Struthio camelus: one gene and its partners. The protein of the gene in region 1 binds, or shares a complex with, the protein of each later gene. Links are inferred from orthologs where the notes say so. Each region holds a gene or a part of one and is shown in the gene's direction. Other genes may lie near its edges.

The links.
Region 2: the proteins of PPP2R5C (region 1) and CRYBG1 are in contact, whole or in part, in a crystal structure (PDB 6VRO), measured with the Homo sapiens proteins. The link is inferred for Struthio camelus from reciprocal best matches to the Homo sapiens genes PPP2R5C and CRYBG1. Residues at the interface, in NP_002710.2 of Homo sapiens: Lys183, Thr184, His187, Tyr190, Gly191, Leu194, Arg197, Ala198, Arg201, Glu226, Ile227, Ser230, Ile231, Asn233, Gly234, Phe235, Ala236, Lys240, Glu242, His243, Pro265, Gln266, Tyr269; in NP_001358171.1 of Homo sapiens: Pro1136, Phe1138, Ala1139, Met1140, Pro1141, Pro1142, Ile1143, His1144, Glu1145, Asp1146, His1147, Glu1149.
Region 3: the proteins of PPP2R5C (region 1) and PPME1 are in contact, whole or in part, in a cryo-EM structure (PDB 7SOY), measured with the Homo sapiens proteins. The link is inferred for Struthio camelus from reciprocal best matches to the Homo sapiens genes PPP2R5C and PPME1. Residues at the interface, in NP_002710.2 of Homo sapiens: Asp180, His187, Arg188, Tyr190, Gly191, Leu194, Arg197, Ser230, Ile231, Gly234, Phe235, Ala236, Lys240, His243, Asp313, Gln341, Tyr348, Glu353, Tyr354, Glu399; in NP_057231.1 of Homo sapiens: Arg37, Lys38, Arg39, Asn192, Lys217, Val251, Glu252, Gly253, Ile254, Ile255, Glu256, Glu257, Pro345, Gln346.

The regions. Positions count from the first base shown.
Region 1 is NC_090946.1:71,135,554-71,143,629, forward strand, and holds the start of PPP2R5C (serine/threonine-protein phosphatase 2A 56 kDa regulatory subunit gamma isoform), read left to right. Parts: upstream 1-4,983; 5' UTR 4,984-5,090; coding exon 5,091-5,117; intron 5,118-6,837; coding exon 6,838-6,903; intron 6,904-8,076.
Region 2 is NC_090944.1:58,589,850-58,597,139, forward strand, and holds the start of CRYBG1 (beta/gamma crystallin domain-containing protein 1), read left to right. Parts: upstream 1-4,194; 5' UTR 4,195-4,277; intron 4,278-7,290. UniProt on the Homo sapiens protein: May function as suppressor of malignant melanoma. It may exert its effects through interactions with the cytoskeleton.
Region 3 is NC_090942.1:223,149,912-223,158,008, forward strand, and holds the start of PPME1 (protein phosphatase methylesterase 1), read left to right. Parts: upstream 1-5,013; 5' UTR 5,014-5,028; coding exon 5,029-5,144; intron 5,145-8,097. UniProt on the Homo sapiens protein: Demethylates proteins that have been reversibly carboxymethylated. Demethylates PPP2CB (in vitro) and PPP2CA. Binding to PPP2CA displaces the manganese ion and inactivates the enzyme.

The DNA.
Region 1 (8,076 bases):
TTGACTAGTTTTTCAAGCTTGTTTGCCAGTGTTTTACATTAGAACTAACTGTGAGGCTTTCAGAGCCCTGAGTGCACTGATAGTCTTAATTGCCCTGACCTCCTCAGTCTTCTACCCACACACCCCCGACCCAGGAGCTGCATTCAGGCTCAGGCCTGGGCATCCAGACCTAGCCCGAGCTATGTTGTAGGTGTATCTGTGCCCGGCTGTGTCTCCCTCTGGCCTGACTTGATGACTGGGCTTTCTAGATGGACTGCTGATGTATGTTGTAGGCAGTCTTCTCTCTGGCTCAGTCTCCTGGATGGATATTAGACCTATGTCAGCAGTAGACCTCTCTCTGGCTCTCAATTCTAGTTAATCATCTTTCCGTTCTTCAGCCCTGTCTCCTGTTGTTCCTGACTGGACTTCCTGGATGGGCTCCCTGACTTGTGGCCTTGCCTTGTCTGAGGCTGTTGACGGAACCTGACACTATTGCCACCCCAGCCCTGCTCAGGCACCGTGGGACGGCACTGTGGGTGATAACACCCTCCCTGTGCTGCAGTCACCCTCCGCTCCCGGCTCGTTGTTTCTCGTGGAGCAGGCCCCCTCTTGCTGCTCCCTGATAGAGAGGTCTAACGTGAGACGACTTCTGTTTTTGCCAATAAACTTCTGGGAGGTGAAAAGGGGGCTTAACATAAGCTTTCCCTACTTACCTGAAAGAATGAGAGTTCTGAACTTTTAACAGAAGTGGAAAATATTCTAATAATTGTTTCCTATAGTGCTATGATTGTTTGAATAACTAACGGCTAATGCTATTCACTAAACTCAAAATAAAATCTTGCCTTTTTCGAAATTTAAAAGAGGCAAGAAAGAATGAAAAGTTTTCAAAAGAGATAATGCAAAGAAATGTGTATTTCAATGCAAATATAATCTCATCCTCACTTCCAGATATTCACTGGAAATTCCTCGAGCTGAGATTCTGATAGCATAATTAACCATACGTGAGAGGTTTTTTCATTTTTGACCAGTCCAAATTTTACAGAAATTATACTCAGTGAGAAGATGTACAGTACTGACACTACTACATTTACATATGATTACATCAGTTAATTATGGTTTTGGATGTGCATCTCTGGTTCTATGTAAGTGACGTCAATAACTACCATTTGTAACTGCAGTCACACATAGGGCTGAAATATTATGTCGCATACATACGTGTTCTGAAATTTGACCTGTTACTCATTACCTCAAAAGAGTCTGACTTTTATACAGCTGTGAATAAAATATTTTTTAACCCTTACAACACAGCAGATCATAACAGTGGGACATCTAATGCTAATGGATATTAACAGAATTGAAAAGAATTAAAACCTAGCTATTTAGATTGAGACCAGCCAAGGAATTATTTAACGTAATTCAGGGTAGGCAGAATAAATCCATGCTAGCTGAGAAGGTTTCTGAAAGACGTTTAAGTTTTTGGTGAAGCTGAATATACTTGCTTTGCAGTTCTTGATGCTAGGTTGCATAGAAGCAGAGCGTATTGCAGGCATTCAAGCCTGATGAAGTAGTTTATTATCCCAGATAGCTCCTTAAGACATAATTTCGCAGTTTCACTACTCCTGATAGGAAGGTTATCTTACTTAGCAGTGCAGCCTGAAAACAAGCCTGGAAAAATTTTTTATATTTCAACCCATCTATTTCAGCCTCTCTTTTTACTGCCAGTGGTGTGTGAATTTTCAGTTCTCTCTTTACATCTGTCACAGAGTGCCAGAAAATGGAAAAGATCTGCTTCAGTCAATAGGGAGAAAGAAGTACCTTGAAAAACAGCCTGCCAATATTTGACAGTTCTATACAATGATGACAGTTCATTGGCTTCTCAAACCTTGTCCACAAGTACAGTTGCATAGTTTCGGTTGAGCCAAATTAACAGCTTGATGGCAAAGGGTCTCATTGTCTCCCATCTTCCCTGCTCAGTCAGTTTTCTGCCATTTTAGCAAGTTGAATTAGCATACCACGCAATCAAACCAAGATGGTGCATGGAAAGCAGTAAAAGCATAAAACTGGGACTGGGAGAGGCAGACTGCGAACAAGGCATCTCTTCACAGTGATAGTGATCTGCTCAGTCAACTCAGGCCAGACCATGAATGATCAGGCTTTGCACGGGAATCAAAAAATATTTATCTATATATTTATATATATCCAAAAAGGTTGGAAAGGGCTAAATATGTAAATATCCCCCCTTCACTGGCTCACTGGGCATTTGGCCCAGTTTCAAACTATTATTCACCTGCTTCATGTATAACTGAAGCTATTTAGCTGTTTTAACATTTGCAAGGTTAGACAATTTAATCAATACAGTAAGAAATGCAAAATGTTAGCTATACTGCATGCACTAGTTTGAAAGGATTTAGAAAGTTGGACAGTAGGCACAACATTTTTAATTACAGAGACAGCCTAATCAGTCTGAAACTGTTCTGATTTCTGGAAACATCTAGTTTGCATGAAGCACGTTCAGAAGTTAATACAAATATTAATATAGTCATATTCACACTCCCATTACATCATCTTATTTTCCTACTCTGTAACACAATAATTAGGCCCACAGTGATGTAACACCGTAGTAAAAATAAAATTTCATCGCTGCATAAAACGGTATGTCACTTCTCTTGTCCTCATAGTTCATGAAGCCATTAGAGCATACAGATGGAACAATTTTTCTTGCAAACCACCTCCACCCACTGATTATTTGATATACTAGAGCAGGCCTTGGAAAATACAATTGCTTTCTGTTACTGGTGAATGAGAGTCTTTCCCTAGCAAGTGAGGTGAGGGGGAGTCAAGTTTTCACAAGAGTCTCTACATCTGTGGTCACAAAGAAAACCTCCCAAATGTTAACTGAGTCAGTGCCATCTTTTGAACCTGTATTCAGTCTAATGCACGGATTCAGTGTTTTCCCAACTACCAGCAAAACAGACAATTTTTGCTGCTGCTATTCAGGAGTAGGTGGGTAACAACGATACTGACACAGTGTTTCTATTATTTGGAAAAACTATGGGCACTAGGAAGCATAAAGGAGGCCAAGAGCCAATGAGAAACTCATTAAGCAGCTTAAACTGATCTAAATCTAGTCTGTTGAGGTCACATCCCTCCCCCGCCACACATTTCCACCCGCTTCCTTCGGCCATTGCTAGTGTTTACAAAAGCAGGTGGTGTGCCAGTTCAAGGCAAAAAACACATCACTTTGGTGGGATAGTTTTCAGCCAGATCAACTCTGTGAACTGGTTTAGGGGCACAGCACTAGCAACAGCGCAAAGGAGGGAGGTGGGAACACAACCGCTTGGAATTAAGAACAGTTTAAGTTTGTGTGAAACTATAACCTAATAAAGAACTGGAAGTTCTGGAGTTTATCCTCAGCTATATGAATCCTTTCATACGCTGATCAAACTCCAGCTTAAAAGAGGGCTGGATTGCTTTGCCTTACTATTTCTGAGTATGTTCCTAACCCACATTCCTCTTTCTGGGTTGGTCAGAAGTCTTATTTATAATGAGTAGAAATTCACTGATGACCGATTCCTAACAGAAGCACAATAGTGATAGTGGCACCTCCATTCTAAATCCTCTAACCAGAGAAGATTAGGGAAAGGCTAAGAGGCAGACATAATTTGTTTTCTAGCACATAAGAGGCGGGGAGGGGACTGAAGCAAGAGGAAGCAACTCCCCGTAGTCAGAAGACTTCTTTGCAGTGCTTGGATAAGGGAAAATTTCTTCGCCTTGTGACCACAGCAAAAGCAAAGTGTTCCCCTACGACACATACAAGCTGATGCTAGCTATCATCACATCAGACAGGAACAGTTATTAGAAATCCCAGTTCCTGAGAAATGAGACCTCAGCTGCTCACTGGTGCTGGCTTTTATACTCACCGGGTGGGAAAGAAAGGAAGTCAATTTTTTAATGCTAGTATTTAATAGGCACCTGTAATTTCTTCATCCTTTAGTAGTGCAGCATAGTTAAAGCTTAATAAACGTATTTAATATACATTTTAGATGTTTTATGTCTTGGGTTACAATTCCCTATGCTTTTTTCCTCAGTTTAATAGTAACTTGGGGCTTGGTCAGGCTACATGATAAATGCAATTTGTAAACGTTCCTGATAAAGTGTCATACCTGTCTTCTTTTGTGTCAGAAGACTATTCCGATTTTTGCATTGCTGCTCGGAAAGGTTAAAGAGTGGCTTGTTTTAACACTAACCTCTGGCCAAAGGTGGGCATAATTGAAAAGAAAACATATGCACCTAAGCATTAAAAAAAGGGGCGGGGACAAAGATACTATTACAAAATCAGGCTGCATCTATGTAAAGCTCACCTTTTCCTTATCCACATACTGCAAGCACACCCTGAAGTCCTCAGACTGATGATGACCAGACTGGGTGTGTACGACAGGGACAGCACGCTTCGTATACGCCCTATATTAACTTTCTCTTCCTTAAACACTTGCCGCCCTGCGGCGAGAGGCTCCCGGACCGGTCGGACCCTCCCGCTACCGGCCTCCAGGGGAGGCCGAGCTCCCGGGGGGCAGCTCAGCCTCGGCGCCCGGCCACCTCCCGCGGGGCCCCGCCGGCCGCGAGAGCCCGCCGAAGGCCCGGGGCGCTGAGGCGCCGCCTCAGCCCTCCGCCCTCCTCCGAGAGGCGGCGGGATCCAGAGGAGCGGCTCTGCCCTGGGGGCTCTGCGGAGCGAAGACAGCCCCGAGCCCCGGCTCTGCTGCTGCCGCTGCTGCCCCCGCCGCCGCCGCCGCCCCCGGCCGGTCCCCGTCGCCGCCGCCGCCGCCGCCGCCCCGCTCGGAGCGTGACAGGAGGGGGGAGGGGCGGGAAGCAACAGAGAAGCCCGCCCACAGGGTGACGCCATGGGAGCCTCGCCTCACGTGACCGGGGCAGCCAATGGGGAGGCGGCGTCCCGGCTCCTGCGGGCGGGGGGGTAGGGGGCGGAGGAGGAAGGGGGTGGGGGGAGGCCGAGGCCGCGGCCGTCGCCGAGGCGGGCGGGGGGGGGGGGAGCGGCAGCGCGGAGCGGGACCGCCGGAGGTTGCGCCTCTCCGGCCGCGGCGCCGAACCGAGCGGCCATGCCGAATAAAAACAAGAAGGAGAAAGTGAGTCGGCGGCGGGGGCGCGCGCGGGGAGGCCGGGCGGGTCGGGCCCCGCGGGGAGGCTGTGGGGTGCAGGCCCCGCCGGGAGGGGCCTGGGGCAGGGCCCTGAGGGGGGCTGGGGCGGGTCGGGTCGGGCCAGGGGCAGCCCCCCCCCACCGTTGTACGCAGGCGGTCCCCTTCCTTTCCTCTGAGTGGGGGCTGAGGTGACTCCTTGGGGGGGGGGGGGGCTGGGGCCTGGCCCCGGGGAGGCTGTGGCGGGCTGGCATCGCCCTGCCCCGCTCCGGGGGTTTCACCCCCCTCTGCTCCCCGCCGGAATGGGGCGCGGAGCCCCCGCGGGCGAGGCCGCGGCGCCGGGGGCGGGGTGGGCGAGGGGTTGAGGGAGTTGATGGAGGGCGGTCGTGGGTCTGTTGTGTGGCGGAGGGCTGGGGGGGGGGGTCACGCAGTTGGACAAGGCGCCTGGAGGAAGAGTGAGTTGGAGAGGGTGTCTCTTAATTTGGGACCAGCCCGAGTCTCTCGTGGCGGAGGAAGGGGTGGTTTTGAGGGAGGCAGGATAAACGTTTGGGGGGGGGGGGGGGATTCCTGGGAGAGCCACCTCTCCAGCCCTCGTCCCGGGAAGTTTCACTGGCGCGTTGCTTTGACTGCAGTTGAAGTTGTGCCTGGAGAATCACCGTAAGCACTCAGCAAGCGTTAATCAGCGCTTGAAATCTTTTCATCTGCTCCTCCTGCCAATGGAAGATGGATGTTGTTTTGGCCTCGCTTTGCCTCAGTTTCCCCTATGCATCTGGGAGGGATTTGTTTGGCAGCCGTAAAAGGGGCTAGCACAAGTAACGAACGTTAGCAGAAAAGTTTTAAGTCCAATATAAAGTCAACGGGATTGCACTTTATTTTGTGTGATAGGCAATTAGCTGTCACGGGAATGAGTGCACATCAGAAGCAGTGAAGTATAAGTCTGCATGGTCCTGCTGCTATCCCACCAGACCTTTTTATGTTTGTTTGACTTCTATCTGCTTTCTAGTTTTTCAACATCACTTTAAAATTAGGTGTAGGAAGATTGGGCGGATTTTGCGTTTCTATTTTCTTTTTTTTTTTTTTTTTTTACTTTTTCCTAACATCCTTGTCTCTTTGATGTTGAAGAACCTCAACACTTATTTCTCTTCTGAGAATAACAGAAGTAGCTCAAAAATATGCAATGGGTGAAGGATGTAACTTAAGTGCAATGCTGGGAAAGAGAATTTGGGGTGCAGACCTACTTCACATACTAGAGTTTTTAGCCCCATTATAGTTACTTGGAGGAAACACCTAGAAGAGACAAGATAATGAAGTGTAAAATGTGTACTGCACTGATGCTTGTTTCAAAGCTAAATATAACTACTCCCGAGGCCAAAAAGCAAAGACAGCAAGGCTCAGTTCTTAGGCATGGCTGAAATCATTTGCATTCTTTGCCCCTGCTTGTTTACCTATATACAAGCCTCTCTTTAAACACGTTATAAGTGGGTTTTGAGGAATAAATACAATGTAAGAAATTTTCTTGAAGGTGAAAAATGTTAAAAGCAACTTTGTAGAGACTGCTTTTTCAGTATTAAGTTTTTTTTCAGTGAAACAATATAATTCTCATCTCACCATTTTTAACGTTCTTAGCAAGTAGCTAAAAAACTGAATTCTTGATGTGAAAGTCTATCTAAATCTTTACAAAATAACTGAGGCTGCAAACTTCATTTTTTAGGAACCTGCAAAATCAGGCAAGAGTGGAAAAAGTGGTAAAGATGGACAAGATAACCAAGAACATGAGGTAAATATTACTAAAACGTGTAGTTTTTCCAGGCAAATGTGTGATGACTTTTGAAGAGCATATTAAGTTTGTCTAGATTGTTATAATTTTGATGTGATAGATGGCTGTAAGTAAAGTGGTTATAGAACTTCTGGTGAAGTATTTGACAAAAAATATTTTAAGACTGGAGAAAATGCTTTTGAGGAAGTTGAATTTTATTTAGAGCAACTTAGACTAAAGCGAACATGCAAAATATTTCTCAGATATTTTTCTGTTTTCTTTTTCGTTCTGAGGTGTGTATCTATCTTATTTTCTAGTCTCATCATGAGGTTTTGGACTTGTCTTTTAGTTGCTTATCACGTTTTTTTTATCATTCTTCATAATTCCCGGAGCTCTCTTCTCTTAAAATCATGATGTGAGCATGTCAGTTAAGTGTCAGTATCCTGTTCCATATTGTCTCAGGAGACCTTAGGCTTAATTAAAGGCCGCCAACTTATTTCTGTTGTGTGATTTCTTTTTATAGGTGTATATACTGGAGTGTTCCATTTTTGACTGATTATTCTGTTGTTGCTGCTGCTACTTTTTTCAAACTTTTACATTGCTTTCTGCTTTGCTCGCTAGCAAGGTGCAGTGAATTCAAAGAGGTCGATTAAATTGTGGCTTACTCGCTTTCCCGTGTTAATCTGGAAAACCAGAGTTAATGGTTTTGCTTCATTTGGAAATCTACAGGGTTCAAGTGGATTCTGGAATTTCCTGTAAAGTGTTAATACCAACCTATATGTAAAATGCAGTGCTGAAAAGTTTGTGCAAAAATACATTTGAAAACCATATTCTTATCCAAAATTACCACTTCCCCTCCCCTAAATGACTATAAGAAAAAAAAGAATTTTTGTGTTTGCTCTGTAGTGTGTGTATTCTTTCTGATGCACTTCATTGAGTTTGTTTATTTCTTGTGCAGAAAGATGCATGTTACAGTATGTTAATGAAATCATTAGATTTTGTGAACTTTAGTATCTTGGCAAATTCAGGTAAAACAATGATTGAATTTTGGTGGAGGGAACTGGTATTCTAGCGACAGGGAAAGCCCTTAGAAAGAAATCGGAACTGTATCAGAAAAGAGAAGTTCATAATAAATAGTAGAAATACATATACTTAATTGTGATATGTTTTTGTCTTTGCAGTATGTTGCTGTGG
Region 2 (7,290 bases), on another chromosome or scaffold:
TGAGTTTTGTCCTGTTGTTTGTTTTACGGGTCTCTTGGCTTCTGCAGTTCTGGCTTAGCATGTTCCTGAGCTATTCTAGTTCTTAGCCTTGGCTTTCTCCGGTCACTATATTCAGTAGCATTTTACATTTTTGATTCCATGCTGTCTATACTCACCAGGAACGAGCATCCACATCCTGCCATGTCTGAGAATACTAGGGATACATAACTATGCCTTTTCTTTCAGGGCACGGAGCAGGACTCACTCTCTTTCATTTTACATGTAGCCACTTAAATCTCTAACCACGTTGGGTCAGAAAGAAAACACCAGTGCTAACAGGACTGTGAAGTTGAATGTTCCCTTCTGAAGTAGGATATTCCCGAATGAAGGCCACTCTTTCTGCCACTATTTCTACGTCAAGTGCTAAATAGGCAGCGAACTCTTGGAAAAGAATAACAGCCATCATTGCATTGTGCACCAACCCTGATTTTACAATGTGTGTTGAACAAGACCTCACTATGCTGACCGCTGGGAGCCCCTGTGGAGCTTTAGGCCAAGGAATACCTTGTTTTTAGCTCTTTGTCAGACTTAGGCAAGAACCACGCACCAAACTCACAGTCCTGTCAAGGCTGAGGCAGTTCTGGGCATGTGAAGAGGTGAATCCCTGGGTACCTGGGGCACTTGCAAGACAAACAGGGAGGCACCTCTGGAATTTAGGTGCCCTTAAGGTGAGATGTCAAATGAATGTGGGATTTCAGGACCACACTTTGGGGCTTGCATGTTTAATGTGGGACACAGGCAGGATTCTGGCCCCTGTATACTTTATTGCTCTTTTATCACTGGCTTCACAATGTGGGAATTCAAAGGCATTCTTCATATATTCTGACAGTGGAGTAGCTGAATCTTAAATGTAAGCTTTCATATACTGATTTTGGAAAAATTTTCAAACCTCTGCTGTATTAGCGGAGAAGATAAAGTATTTAGTGACAGAGCTGGTGGTAATCCGTTCCTAGTAGTACCTGAAATGTATACTTTACAAACAAAATGGTGCTTTTCCTATAATTTGCTTATGAGCTCTAGAATGTTTTTCCTCAAATATAGTGTCATAATGGAACACTTTTGTGTTAGAATAGTGTTTCTGTTTTGAAATATATTAAAAAGGGAGGAACAACAATTTGAATACATCGTGCTCACCTTGGTGCTATTTAGTTTCTGTAACAATTTTGGAGCTTTTGAGTCTGCAGTTGTCTGATGATTCTCATCATAATTCCAAAATAATTATGCTTTTTTTTTTTTTTGGTAAATCTCACATATACTGTGCAGACAAGCTAGGTGGATAATACTGAAAATGATCGAGTCTAATCTAGAAATTTGGGAACATCCAATCATCTTCTTTTTCATCACGCTGGAATGAAACCAAACAGGAGAAGGATCATTTGTTGCATAACATTTTTCTATGATATGAATTGCTACGAACTGTTGCAAAACTCATTTGGTTCAGATAAAAGCTAGACTGACTTGTTCTGTTACATGTGTCAGGACGGCTGACATAAACCTGACCATCATTTAAAGTTTCCTAAATGACTGGCTAATTCTAATGAATTTCTGCGTTTATCTAATGGTCTTAAAAATGCCTTTCTTAAAAGAAAAGATCTACATCTTCTAAATAAGCCTAGGAACAAGTACGACTACAAGCACTGAGCCTCCACAAATCTGTTTGGATTGAGATCACGTGTTGTTTTTATATTGCCTTATTTAACACCTAGACCTTAATTTTGGCTAAAGCTTGAACAAATATTATCAACCAAATCCCCTTCACCTATTTGCATGTATTAGGATATTCTAGTTTACGTTAGCAGTGAAGCACAAATGCTGGATATCTCAAAGTTAATGTTGCAGGCTTATTTGTTATATTTAATTGTCACTCCAGAGAGATATTTAACTGCACATTTCTAGGGTGGGAACAACAAGAGCCTAATGTTGATGCAGGTCACTCTGAAAAATCTGAAATGTTTTGAAGAGATGCACGCTTTGCATTCCTCTTTTTCCTTGCTCTGCAATTTACACTACAGGTCTTCAGGCCATATAGATCTTTTTGTCTCTTGTGGGCCCCCCGGCTAGTGGGCTGATCGGCACATGCGTGTCTGCAGGCTGGCTACCAGAGCAGATCACCCTAACTCTTCCCTCTCCTAGTGGAGCAGGTATACTGGGGCACCATAACAGAGAGGACAAATTGGGACAACAGTGGTCCACACTTTTTTCTCCTCGGTGCTTTTTGGCTGAAATGGCTCATCAACACATTTAATATGTACCCCTTTGGCACAATAGGACTCTGATTCTAACTGGTGCCTAAATGGAAATGTGGTATGAATATTTAGTAATACTTTTATCTGGCTCGTCCAGTGGTGCACAGGAGAACGTCATAAAATGCCGTGGTTATGCCAGCTGTGAATCTCTTGTCAAGGAAATGGAAAAAAGAATTATTTTAAGAGGAGGGAGGTAGCTATTAGGATCTTCTAGTGTTGAGTCAGTGCTCAAAAATCTTATCCAGATATAGGAAACAGGATCTACCACTCTGTTCCTACCCATCCACCAAGGACAGCACGTTATCTGTCATCAAGTCTGTCTCCATTCTAGGAGATACTCAAAACCCAGATGGACACTTTCCTGAGCACCCTGTTCTAGCTGACCTCGCTTTGAGCAGGGGGGTTGGACTTGACAAACCCATAGGTCCCTTCCTGCTTCAAGTGCGATCTGTGATCTTTGTGCCTATATAAATTGCTCCATTGAAATGGACAATTCTTCAATCCTTATGTGTTTCCTGAGGGCACAACCCTCTGCCTTTTCTGTTGTGTCCAATTTTGTCATATGCCTGTCACATGTATTATATAGCAACATCACCTATTTTAATTTTGGGAAAAATCACTTTCTTTGTAGGTTAGTCTGTTTAGTTAATCACTAGCCAAATAAATTAAACATAACTCAGGAAAATAACTGAATCTGAATTTGCAGACCTAAAACCGGTCTACAAATTGCTTTGGGTAAAACACTAGTATAGGTAGGGCTGAGCTGCTGAGCCAAACCCCTTGTGTATTTTGTCTTCCCATGCCTTGTCTTCACATCCTATCTCTGTCCGCTAAAAACCTCAGCATTAATTTATATCCCTCTCAATTTAGGTAGTGTATTTATCGATTATAGGCTCATTATGGCCATTTCTTAACAGTGAATTTCAAGTTTTCCCAGCACACAGACTTTTAATACATTTTCTATAGTCTCATTTTAGAGTTTTTTGCAGAGAATCATAACCTCGGTATCCAATCAGTAACACGCAAGATCAAAACAAATGAAAAAAAACCGAGAAACTTTAGACACTGGTCACACGAGACAAGTGTGTGCCTGTGAGATTACGAGGCCGGACGGAGGGTGTCCTTCACTGTAAAACACCCTCAGCAAGCACAGCTGTAGAAGACCTCAGGTCTGGGTCATGTGAGGGCAGATGGCTACAGGCGCTGCGGGGTGCCGGCACCGCCAGGTCGGGGCTGTCGCCGCAGGACGGGACGCGACCTGTCCCGTTAGGTCTTTCCGAGCCCCCCGACGGCCGTCCCGACCTCCGAGGCGGGCCGGGGCCCGCGGGCGCGGCGGCTCCGCTGCCGCCGTCGGCGGCGCTCGCCGTCCCGCTGCGGGCGGGCGCGCTGGCTCTTCGCGCGGCGTGCACAAGCGGCACGGGGCCCCGGGCACACCTGAGGGTTAGCAGAAAACAACAACAAGCTAATGGGCTCCTAATTTGCACCCTGGGCACGGCGAGCACGCGAGCCGCTCCCTTCCTGTGCGAGCGGCGGGGGAGCCTGGCCCGGCGCTGCTTCCTCCGCGGGGAGGGACCGACGCGGCCGGCGGTGGGAAGGGAGGGAAGGAATCGTCTTATTAAACGCATATACACCGAGGCGGGAGGCAACCGCCCCGTCCATGCCCGCGGAGCCTCGGAGGCCGCCGGGCGCGCCGCGCTGCCCGGGCTGCTGCCGGGCCCCGCCGCCGCCCGTCACCGCCGCCGCCCGCCGCGGCTCCCAGCCCGGCATGGCCCGGGCCCGGCGGGGCCGCCTCGAGCGGCTCTTTGGCCGCAGCGAGTCGGACGACTCGGAGGCGGAGGGCGCCGCTGCCGCCCGCCGCCACCCGCCCAAGCGGCGCCCGGCGCTGCCCCGCTGGCGGCCCGGCAAGAAGGAGCAGCAGCAGCAGCCCCGAGGAGGGGGCGGCGGACCCGCCTGGCCCCCGCCGCCCGCCGCCGCCCTCGGCCCCGCGCTGCGGTAAGAGCGAGCCCCGACGGCGGAGGGAGGCGGGGAGCGGGGGGCGATGCCCGGGGGTCCCGCGGCCGCGCCGGCGGTAACAGCCGCCCTGAGCAGGCGGAGCCTCCGCGGCCCCAAGCGCGCTCAGGAAGCGTAGCTGGCCTCTAGTAAGAGCCTTTACTCTTCCGCGGCAGCGGACTTGCTCCGCGCTCGTTTTCCCGGGATGCGCGAAAGAAGGGCGAAAAGGGAAAAGGTCTCGGTGGCACTTTGCTCCAGCACCTTCGCTATCTGTTGCTCCCCAGCGCGCTTCAAAGCTGCCCGTGAGCGGTGCCCATGTCACGCACGCTGCCTTACAAGGCGCCCGTGGAGGGGGCGGGAGGTCGCCGAGCGCTGCTGGCAGCCCGGGGCGGCTCAGGGAGGCTGGCTGCAGGCGGCTGGGCGGCAGAGCCTCTGCACCTGGAGGCAGTTCTCGGCAGGCTGTGGCAAACGTGAGGCTGCAGCAAGGACTGATTCAACACGATACTGCTCGGGTCTGAGACCCGGGCAAGGAGAGGGTGTCAGCGCTGCCTGGATTGAAGAAGACTCGTTGTAAATTAGTGATCTCTGCGTGGTCCGGATTGAGAAGTGTGTTATGTTCGATAAGAGTGGGGCTGTATGACAGTCATACAGGGCTTGCTTGACTGCTGAACTACAGTCTAGCGAAGCTTGTGTTTGGTATCGGAATGTACTGTTGAAAACTTTTGACAGCAACATCTCATATAGAAACCCATGTGAGCTCATGCTTACTCATGAGTAGGAAAAGTAATACGAAGTCTGCTTTTCAGAGCTATTGAACCAGGAAATGGTGTGTTTTACAGTGGTATTGAGTAGGTAATGCTGCAGGTGACCTCCACCAGGAACAGAAACGGCTTCCCCTCTTCTGCTTTCCAAAAAACAGATGGAACAGGAAGCATAGTGCTCTGTAATTGTCATAGGATTACAGCGTAGTTTAGGCTGGAAGGGACCCCAGCTGGGCTCTAGTCCAGCCTTGTACTCAGAGCAGGGTCAGGTCTGAGATCTCACCAGGTTACTCAGGCTTTATCGAGTTGGGTTTTGAAAACTTCCAGGAATGAAGACTGCGTAGCCTCTCTGAGCAACTTGCTCCCTGCCTGATCATCCTCTCGTGAGAAGGTTTCTCCTTGTGTGAAAGAGGACCATCTCTTGTTTCAATTTCTGCCCTTATGCCTTGTCATGCACTGCTGAAGAGCCTCTTGGATCTTCTTGGTTACGCCCTGCAAAGGTGCCGGGGGCTGCTGTGAGCCCCCCGAAGCCATCTCTTCCCTCAGGTTTGACCAAGCTGCTGCCCTCGAACAGCTGGGTCACCCCAGTTTATCAATGTTTGTTTTCTGTTGAAGGGGCCCAAAACTGAATGGAATATTCTAGATGTGCTAAACGAATGCTGAGAAATGGAGGTTAAGTTCTTCCTCTATTGCTAGTTCCGTTTTCTTCCAGATACCTTGCTCCGTCTACTGCGCCAAACCAAAGCAGAAACACTGTGTGGGATTTGGGGCTTGAAATAATTGGAGGATGTTTTTGCTGCATAAAGTTACCAAGTTCTGTACATAAAATATAAATGAAACCTAATACCTGCAAGGCTTTTGAATTGATAGCTTTGTAATTTGTTTGAAAACACAGGGTTTTTTGCTTTCTGTTCAGGGAACTAAACCTTCTAGTATTGATACAATATGTGCCTTCAGCACATAGAAATACACATTTATGTTAACATCATTAACCACAATTGGTCATCTTAGGACAGCACAAACGTTCTTGTTCGTGTAGCTTTCTACCATCGTGTGTGTTTGTTTTAAATGGAATGAACAAAGCCTTTAATGCACAGCCTGAAAAATTCAGTGCAATTTTTTAAGGTTGAGGATTATGGTATTTTTTCTCAAAATATATTGTTTGAAGTATTTTATTTTTAGTAGGCTAAATGATGGGCCATGAGACATGATCAGAAGAATGCTGTGTAGACCGTACAAAAGTATACTTTAAACAGCAATGATTTTCAAAATTTGGGGTGCTTAATAAATAGTCGCATTTTGCTATGAGAGAGACATAGTTTGGCACACAGCTAGCATGAAAGCTGGCTTTTTGAAGATACCTATTTAAATGATAGTCCAGTTTAAAAACAAAATATCTCAGTAGCTGTTTTGCTGTTCTTATGCTATTATTTTTTTTTTTTAGGTAGGCAAAACTTTTCATTGCTGTTAGATTACTCATCTTGAAGAGCAGTGGCCAATATAGCATAAAAAATGTGTCACCATCATCATCTAAAATACCAAAGAAGCAGCACAGCTCCTTTAAACTTGAGGCTGCAAGTGTGCACTCTTGTCCTCAGCGAAGTGTTTGTGTTGTACTACCTTTGTTCTTGGGTGTCTGAGGTTAAATCAGGAAAGCCAGATGAACTCCACTGGACCCTTTCTCCCGCAAAAGTTCCTAGAGTCTCTTTTCCACAGATAAGCGATGCAGACTGGAGCCTTTAAACAGAAGAAGCTGCAGCGAAAGAAAAAAAATCAAAGGAAAGATGGTGTCACAGTGTCTTAGAAAACTGCACCGTCCTAAGATACCAAATTTTACTTGGTCCTTTGGAAGTTCCATCCCTACAGAGTTGTCATGTCTTGGACATTGAATAATCTGCACCCATCGGCGGCTTTACAAAGGGAGATGATGACTTTGATTTGAACTTTGAAGCAGGAACTTGGCTACAGGGCAACGAAGGAAATTGTATATCTTTGGGGTGTGAGCGTTTAGCAGTTTTTCCCACAGTGTACTACACTATGAATTGGGAGCTTTGGGTACTTGAAGGCTCAAGACCGGGCAAGTTACTACAGTCCAGTTATGAATTGGCTGAGCCACAAATCACAGTAGCTAGATTGTTGCCTGAAATGTGTCAATGTAATCGCCGTCAAAAAAGAAGATATTTTTGCTCCTTATTACTTCCTCGTTTCACTGGTAATTGTCAGTCTTGGTACTGAGAATGCTAGGACTGCTACCA
Region 3 (8,097 bases), on another chromosome or scaffold:
TGCAGTTCTGTCCAAGTAAGTGCAAGATTCTATACGCAGCTCAGCAACAGAGAATGTGATTAGCTCTACAGAAGAAAAGAGGAGTGTGACCTACAAACAGTGCTGGCAAATGTACTTGGCTATACTGAAATAGTCATTTAAAATAAATCCAGCTTTTACTGGGAGCAAAAAGAATCGAAGTAGGAATTTAATGAAATATTTGTTTACTGTTTTAAGCGTCTTATATTTATAAACCTGTTTGATTTCTGGGCCCTAATGAATCTCTCGACGTGGGAGCAGGTCCATTAAAATGTGTTTCGACTTAATATCCAGCAGTGCTGACAAGTTGATTTTTCCACAGCTTACTGCTTTGCTTGGTACCCAGCAGTCCTCTGGCTGGAGTGTGTGGAGCGCTTTTGTTGTTGTTAATCAACCAGGCAGGCTGTGTCAGATGTGACTCTGTGCTGTGCGGTTGCAAGGAGATCGTAAGAAGCAGAGGGTGGAGCAAGGGACGTTGCTCTAGGCAAACCGAAAAATAATTCAGTGCAGCGCTGAGATTTCTCAAGCTTCAGTCATCCTTGACTGGAAGGACGACTTAGAGTGGCAGGACGCTTTCTTCACGACATCGTTTTCAAACTTACTTTGAGATTATCCAGTCTTAGAGGAAGCTTCTTGCCATTTATATTGAGGGTTTCTTAAGCGAAATAAAATTTTAATGTCTTTTGCTAATATGTTGTTCCAGAGGTTAATGTGTATTTCAGTAGTTCCTAATAAAATGTCACCTGCTACAGCATTCAAATAGGTGAGAATTAGGCTTTTCTTTTTCTTTTTTTTTCCCCTCCCATTTCCAGTTTAGCTGTTTTCCAGTGTGATCACTCCCTTATACTGCTTTACTGGAAAGTCTTATTTGAGAAGTCCAAGTGGCCAAATAACTGTGCTGCCCCCATGAGAACGTCACAGGGGCTGAATTCCGCTCTGCTCCGTCACGGCGAATCTTCACTCAGCTCGCCTCTGCGGACTCTTCCGTATTTACAGTTGTGTGTCAACACAACAGTAGTCGTGAAAGTGCAAATATTCCGTATTCAAAAAATACTCAAATTCACATATTCAAAAAAAATAAATATGCCCAGGGAGGCAGTAGGGATATTGAATCTTTGATTTGGGTGTCACACTGGTATTAATATTTAAATAAAAACAGAGGGCTGAATAGTTAAAATGGCTGCTGCAACATTGTTTTAACAGGCTTTTGCAGTACTACAAGATGTACGCTTGAGTTTCTTCATATTTCACAGCACACTGCATTGATTTCTGCTACCTGGCTTCCCCTAAATTATGCCCCGCTCCCATCTGCGAACACGCACGTGCGCGTGCACTGTTGCAGAAGTACCCTCTTCTGCTAGCTTAGCACTCTCCTGCCTTTATTTGTGTTTAAGCGCTCTCTGAATTGCTCAACTGAATAGAACAATGTTATCGAAAGACATTTTTTAAAGGAAGATGGTGCCTCTCTTTGGCTCCTGCTGTACAAGAAAATCACACGAGTGAGGGGAGCTTAAAGTTCATTTTTAAGAGTCCATTTTTTTGTTGTAAGGAGCAAATCTGCCTACAATTGCATTTCGAACGGACCGCATATATTAAGGCCTTAATCTGAATCACTCAGATGAAAGGGAAATAAAGTCCTACTCTATGATCAGAATTCTTTGAGAAAATCAAATAATGGAGTTTATAAAATCACTAGGTAAGCAGAAGGGCCAAGGGCTGGAAACAGCCCCTGACAGCTGTAACGACTTCTGCCGGTGCAGACCTTCATATATTTTAAGTTTTTCATTAGTTTGCATATAGAGCTAGCTTACTGAGAGTTGAAAATAAGGAAGAATTTCCTTTTCTGTTCCAATATGAGTAAAAATTGTGCAAGATGTCCGAACAACTTTTCATCATCTGAAAGGGCACAATGGGATTTCGTCTGTTTAATTCAATGATGACAGCTAATGTCTCTCTTTTTAATCAGTTTTTCCTGATTTATCAAGAAAAAGTTAATGTATTTGGCATCTTTAAGGTAGACTTTAAAATAATGTTTTTGGTCAAATTTTAGACTTTTGAAATACAACTTGCCAGACATAGCAGTTCTTACATACTAGATTATATTTGATAGGCCTTGCTGGTCAGGTTGAAATATGATGCGAGAATTAACTCTCTTGAATCACATATGTTAAGTTCTGTAACTGCTTAAATAGTTGTAAATAGGTTCTCTAGGTCAGCGAAAAAAAAAAACCCAAAACCAAGGTTCTCTGTGTTTGGTGCAACTTTCCTTTAGGAAAATAACTGAAAGAAAGCCCCACTGAAAGTTGGTGAGCAAAATGGTTTTTATTTAAATCCATCCACGTGGGCTCCTGTTGCTCTGGAATCGCTCGCAGCATGTGCACGTTTTCATGACGCGGTGAAGAGGACAAGCTGCACAATAGGATCAAATTAGCTGTAGAGAGTGCCCAGAATGTGTTTTGTGATTTTAGTTTAATACGGTAGTTGGCTGGATTTGAGTTGCAAGATCGTTCTAGAAAACTTAGTATGTTGGATCCATTTCTGTTTTGGTCTGCCGGATACTTTAAAAAGCAGTAATTAGTTCTGTCAGTTTAAATATTTGGTCAGCAAAATGTTGCTTCAGCATAGGAAGGTGCAAAATCACAGCTGCTGTTTACTGGGCTTGCTTCTAATTTTGAATGTGTGTTGATGTATCACTGAAAAAGAAGCTCTAGAAGAATAATGAATTGAAGATACTCTTTTTTTCTTCTTCTTCTTCAGAAGAAAACTGAATCATGCTCTAGGGCGTTATCTTTAGTACTGTGCTGTGATCGCTCTATGTGGTTCAGACCCCAGTATTTCTTTAAAATCAGCCGTTGCTTAGCCTCACGCCGTCACCAGAATTTTGTAGGAAACTACATGTTTATTCTTACTCTTTTAGGGGCTCAGTATGTAATCGGAGGTCACTTAGATTCTCCCAAGCATCGTTTGGAAGCAAACGTTTCACTTTAAATTGCGATCTGCAAATATCTGCATCAGAGGTGACAACGGTTTCTAACTCCCAGGTCCTCTTCGCGTTCTGCTCTAATTCCCCTGCAGACGTAGGAGTTCGGGTATTTTTTGTTCTCTGATATTTCATATATCTGACAAAAAACTGCTAACATTTTCTCTGGAGTTGTTAGCTCTTATAAAGCTGGATTTTTGAGGTATTTACTAATGCTTCTAAATCGATCAGTGTGACAAGAAGTAGAGTGTGCCAAGGTCCCAGGAAAGGGCTCAGCTCTGATCCCATGGGTTCCTAGCGCAGTGCTCTTCCTTGCCCTTCTTCAAGGATCTGTCTTTTTATCAGCCTCTGACTGCCTACTGTTTGAGAGTTGTAGCAGCGGGCTTTGCAGTGGACCTCTGCTGCCAGAAGCAGTGGTGGAAGGAGCTATAAAATATTCCTAAGCCTTTTGCTTGTGCGCTTGTTTTTTCGGTTTTATTTCCTGTTCGGTTTTTCTCCTAGCTAGCAAGCTGGAAAATTGACCAGTCTGCTTTCACTCTTGCTTAGGAATGGCTCTTAAAAAACGGAGCAAAGTTGAAGCATTTCAGTCAGCAGTGGCTTGAGGAGCTTCAGCCTGTGGTTACCTGGTCACACGCATCCTGCGTGGATTTATACATCTGCTAAAAGGAGCAATCTCCCTCCTAGCATCCTGCTGCTCATTTCCATCTTCTCTGTTGTATCGTGTTTGGGTGGCCTCGCAGGTAGCCAGAGAGAGAACAGATCTAGTTGAAAACTATTTTAATTTTCAGCTGGACCTGTTCATAGGGAGCAGTTAAATCTGGAGGAACGGGGAAGGAAGGCGATGTCGTCTTCACTAGCAGTGCAGGTTTGTTCTGCGTTACAGTGATTGCGTATCAGCAGCCCCAATAACTGGAGGGTTCTGCTTTCCAGGAGAAAGGGCTGTGTTGGGTTAGCCTAAAAAACTTGAGACTGATTTCGAGGTCTCCATGTTATCTAATCTCAGGAGGACATCTACCTGAGAGACGTGAGGGGGAAAAAAATGGACTAAAAAAAGTGTCAGTTGAGGTAAAGTAACTCACTTCCCCCCTGCCCAACCCGTCACCCCGAGTGACTCCTGGCATTGTGTTTGAACAGATCAGGCTCCTTGTGGTCTTTTGCTACATGACGTTTTCCAACCTTAGTTACACGATTATTTGAATCCTGTTCAGTTATCTCCTTGAATTATTGACTGCAGCCGTACGTACAGTATTCCAGACACGGTGGCACCAGTGCCTTATGCGGAAATAGTATAGTCTGTGCTGCGATTTGAGATCATCCTTTAGATGTCTGAGAGTCAAAGAGGTTCCTGCAGAGGATTGATGATAATTTCTTGACTCAGGTGGTGGAGACACCAACGAGGAGAGGTGCACTGCTGGACCTTGTACTAACGAACAAAGGAGGTCTAGTTGGAGAGGTGAAGGTTGGGGGCAGCCTTGGCTGCAGTGACCATGAGATGGTGGAGTTCAGGATCCTACGAGGAGGGAGCAGAGCAACAAGCAGGATTGCAACGCTGGACTTCAGGAGAGCTGACTTTGGCCTCTTGAGGGACCTACTTAGGGGAATCTCCTGGGGTAGGGCCCTAGAAGGAAGAGGGGTCCAAGAGAGCTGGTTAATATTCAAGCATCACCTCCTCCAGGCTCAAGATCAGTGCATCCCTCTGAGGAAGAAGTCGAGCAAAGCGGGCAGGAGACCTGCATGGATGAGCAAGGAACTCCTGGCCAAACTCCAGCAGAAGAAGGAAGTGTACAGAATGTGGAAAAGGGGCCAGGCCACTTGGGAGGAATACAGGGACGTTGTCAGAGCGTGCAGGGATGCGACAAGGAAGGCTAAGGCCCATTTGGAATTAAATCTGGCAAGGGATGTCAAGGACAACAAGAAGGGCTTCTTCAAATACATCAAGAGCAAAAGGAAGACTAGGGAAAACGTGGGCCCGCCGCTGAATGGGGCGGGTGCCCTGGTGACGAAGGATACAGAGAAGGCAGAGTTATTGAATGCTGCCTTTGTTTCAGTCTTCACTGCTAAGGCCAGTCCTGAGGAATTCCAGACCCTGGGGACAAGAGAGGAAGTCTGGAGAAAGGAAGACTCTCCCTTGGTTGAGGAGGATCAGGTTAGAGATCTTTTGTCCAAACTTGACATCCACAAATCCATGGGCCCCGATGGGATGCACCCACGAGTGCTGAGGGAGCTGGCGGATGTTATCGCTAGGCCACTCTCCATCATCTTGGAAAGGTCCTGGAGATCAGGAGAGGTGCCTGAGGACTGGAAGAAAGCCAGTGTCCCTCCAGTCTTCAAAAAGGGCAAGAAGGAGGAGCCAGGGAACTACAGGCCTGTCAGCCTCACCTCCATCCTGGGAAAGGTGATGGAACAGCTCCTCCTGGAGGTCATCACTAAGCATGTGGAGGACAAGAAGGTGATCAGGAGGAGTCAGCATGGATTCACCAAAGGGAAATCATGTTAGACCAATCTGATAGCCTTCTATGACGAGATGACTGGCTGGGTAGAGGAGGGCAGAGCAGTGGATGTTGTCTCCCTGGACTTGAGCAAGGCTTTTGACACTGTCTCCCATCCCATCCTCCTAGGTAAGCTCAGGAAGTGTGGGTTAGAGGAGTGGACAGTGAGGTGGATTGAGAACTGGCTGGATGGCCGAGCTCAGAGGGTTGTGGTGAATGGCGCAGAGTCAAGTTGGAGGCCTGTGGCTAGTGGTGTCCCCCAGGGGTGAGTCCTGGGTCCAGTCTTGTTCAATGTATTCATCCATGACCTGGAGGAAGGGACAGAGTGCACCCTCAGCAAGTTTGCTGATGATACTAAACTGGGGGGAGAGGCTAACACACCAGAAGACTGTGCTGCCATTCAGAGGGACGTGGACAGGCTGGAGAGGTGGGCGGAGAGGAACCTGCTGCAGTTCAACAAAGGCAAGTGCAAGGTCCTGCACCTAGGGAGGAATAAGCCCATGCAGGCACCAGTACAGGCTGGGGGTTGACCTGCTGGAAAGCAGCTCTGCAGAGAAGGACCTGGGGGGGTCCTGGTGGACAACACGTTGAGCATAAGGCAGCAATGTGCCCTTGTGGCCAAGAAGGCCCATGGTCTCCTGGGGTGCATTAGGCAGAGTGTTGCCAGCAGGTGGAGGGAGGTGATCCTGCCCCTCTCCTCAGCCCTGCGGAGGCCACATCTGGACTGCTGGGTCCAGTTCTGGGCTCCCCAGGACAAGAGAGACATGGCGCTCCCGGAGAGAGTCCAGCGGAGGGCTACGCAGATGATGAAGGGCCTGGAGCACCTGTCCTAGGAAGAAAGACTGCAAGAGCTGGGCCTGTTCAGCCTGGAGAAGAGAAGACTGAGGGGGGGACCTCATCAAGGTGTACAAGTATCTGAAGGGGGAGTGTCAAGAGGATGAGGCCAGCCTCTTCTCCGTGGTGCCCAGCAACAGGACAAGAGGCAACGGGCAGAAACTGAACCACAGGAAGTTCCATCTGAACCTGAGGAAAAACTTCTTCACTGGGAGGGTGACGGAGCATTGGACCAGGTTGCCCAGAGAGGTGGTGGAGTCTCCTTCGCTGGAGATATTCAAAACCTGTCTGGATGTGATCCTGGGCAATATGCTCTAGGTGACCCTGCTTGAGCAGGGAGGTTGGACTAGATGATCTCCAAAGGTCCCTTCCAACCTAAACGATTCTGTGATTCTTTGATTCTGTGAGTCATGCACCGTGCTCGCGCTTTGGAGTGTGTAGTCAGCCAATTGACCGCCTGTTTCCAGAGATCAGTGCTTCGCAGGTCAGCGTGCCCTGGTCCATTAACGCAGCTTCTGTCTTTGTTCCTAGGTGTGTGGCTTGACTTGTTAGTTCTGTGATCAATTCCTCGTCCGTCAGAAACGGAGCAACGCCGAGTTCCTCTCTACTGGATGTATTTCATTGTTGTATGAAGAAATTGTTGTGTGCTATATTTCTAAAAACCTGCGAGTGTTTTGCTATTAGCCAAATGAGACTCCTCTCATAGGTCTTTGAAGCTTTCCTGTTTCCTACGCTTAGCGTGCCACCGAGTCACAGGAACATAGGGCTGGGAAAGAAAGTCCTCTCACTCAAGCAGTGTCAATGAACACTTCCTGCGTAACTTGGTTATTGATAGGTGATTTAGTCAGTGCTCTGCTAAATGTTCCCTTCGTTAGTCTTGAATGCTTAAAGATCTACTTCTTATTAGCAACTCTGAAATAGGTATTGCCACTTGTGACAGGGAGGCTGTCTGAGCCAAAGGTCTTCAGTAACAAGTGAAGCAGCTCCAATTCCTCGCTATTATAACTCGGGCTTGTAGCATTGGTGTGCAACTGTGAAGAATTCACTTCTTGTCTTTTGCTATGCTTAATTTTGATTCTGAATATCCAGAACTTGCGCTATTGAAGGTTCCTTTGACCTCCTCATCTACGTGATACTGCTTTAATGTCCTTGCACTAGTCAACAAGTTAATGCGTCCCGTAGAATATTGGCTCTCCTGTCCCTTGTGTAAGAGGCTGTCCATACTGTAACGCCTTTCCGAAAAAGTGGATTAGTTTGTCACACAACCAAAACTCTTCACCTTACATAATATGATTAGTCACCAGCTTGCTTCACACTGCCCATGTTCTGCCTCCCTTCCATATGGGTAGGAAAGACCACTTACCTCTTTTTCCTCTGAGATCCTTTCAAAATTTAAGTCTGAGGTGTCATGGATAAAAAGGAGGATCATCCCCTTGTTAGTAACTAGTTATCTGCTAGGAAACAAGGAGTTAGGAACAAACTTTCCGTTCTCACAAGGAAAGGGAGGTTACGGGTAATTCCCACTGTTTACCAGACTGATGGATTATCTGGGGAAAGGATACCCCTAGGGGCATGATGATATTTGCTAATCAAGTGAAATTATTCAGGACACTCAAACCTAAAACCAGCTGTAATGTGCTGTAGAAGTTTTACAGCACCGAAATGCAGCATTTTAAAAGGCTGATGGAATTTGGTGTCATTAACTGTGTACATCCTAACTATACCTGTGCAGTTATGGGTCCTCGACTGCTATCACTCGGAAAATAGATCTTTGAA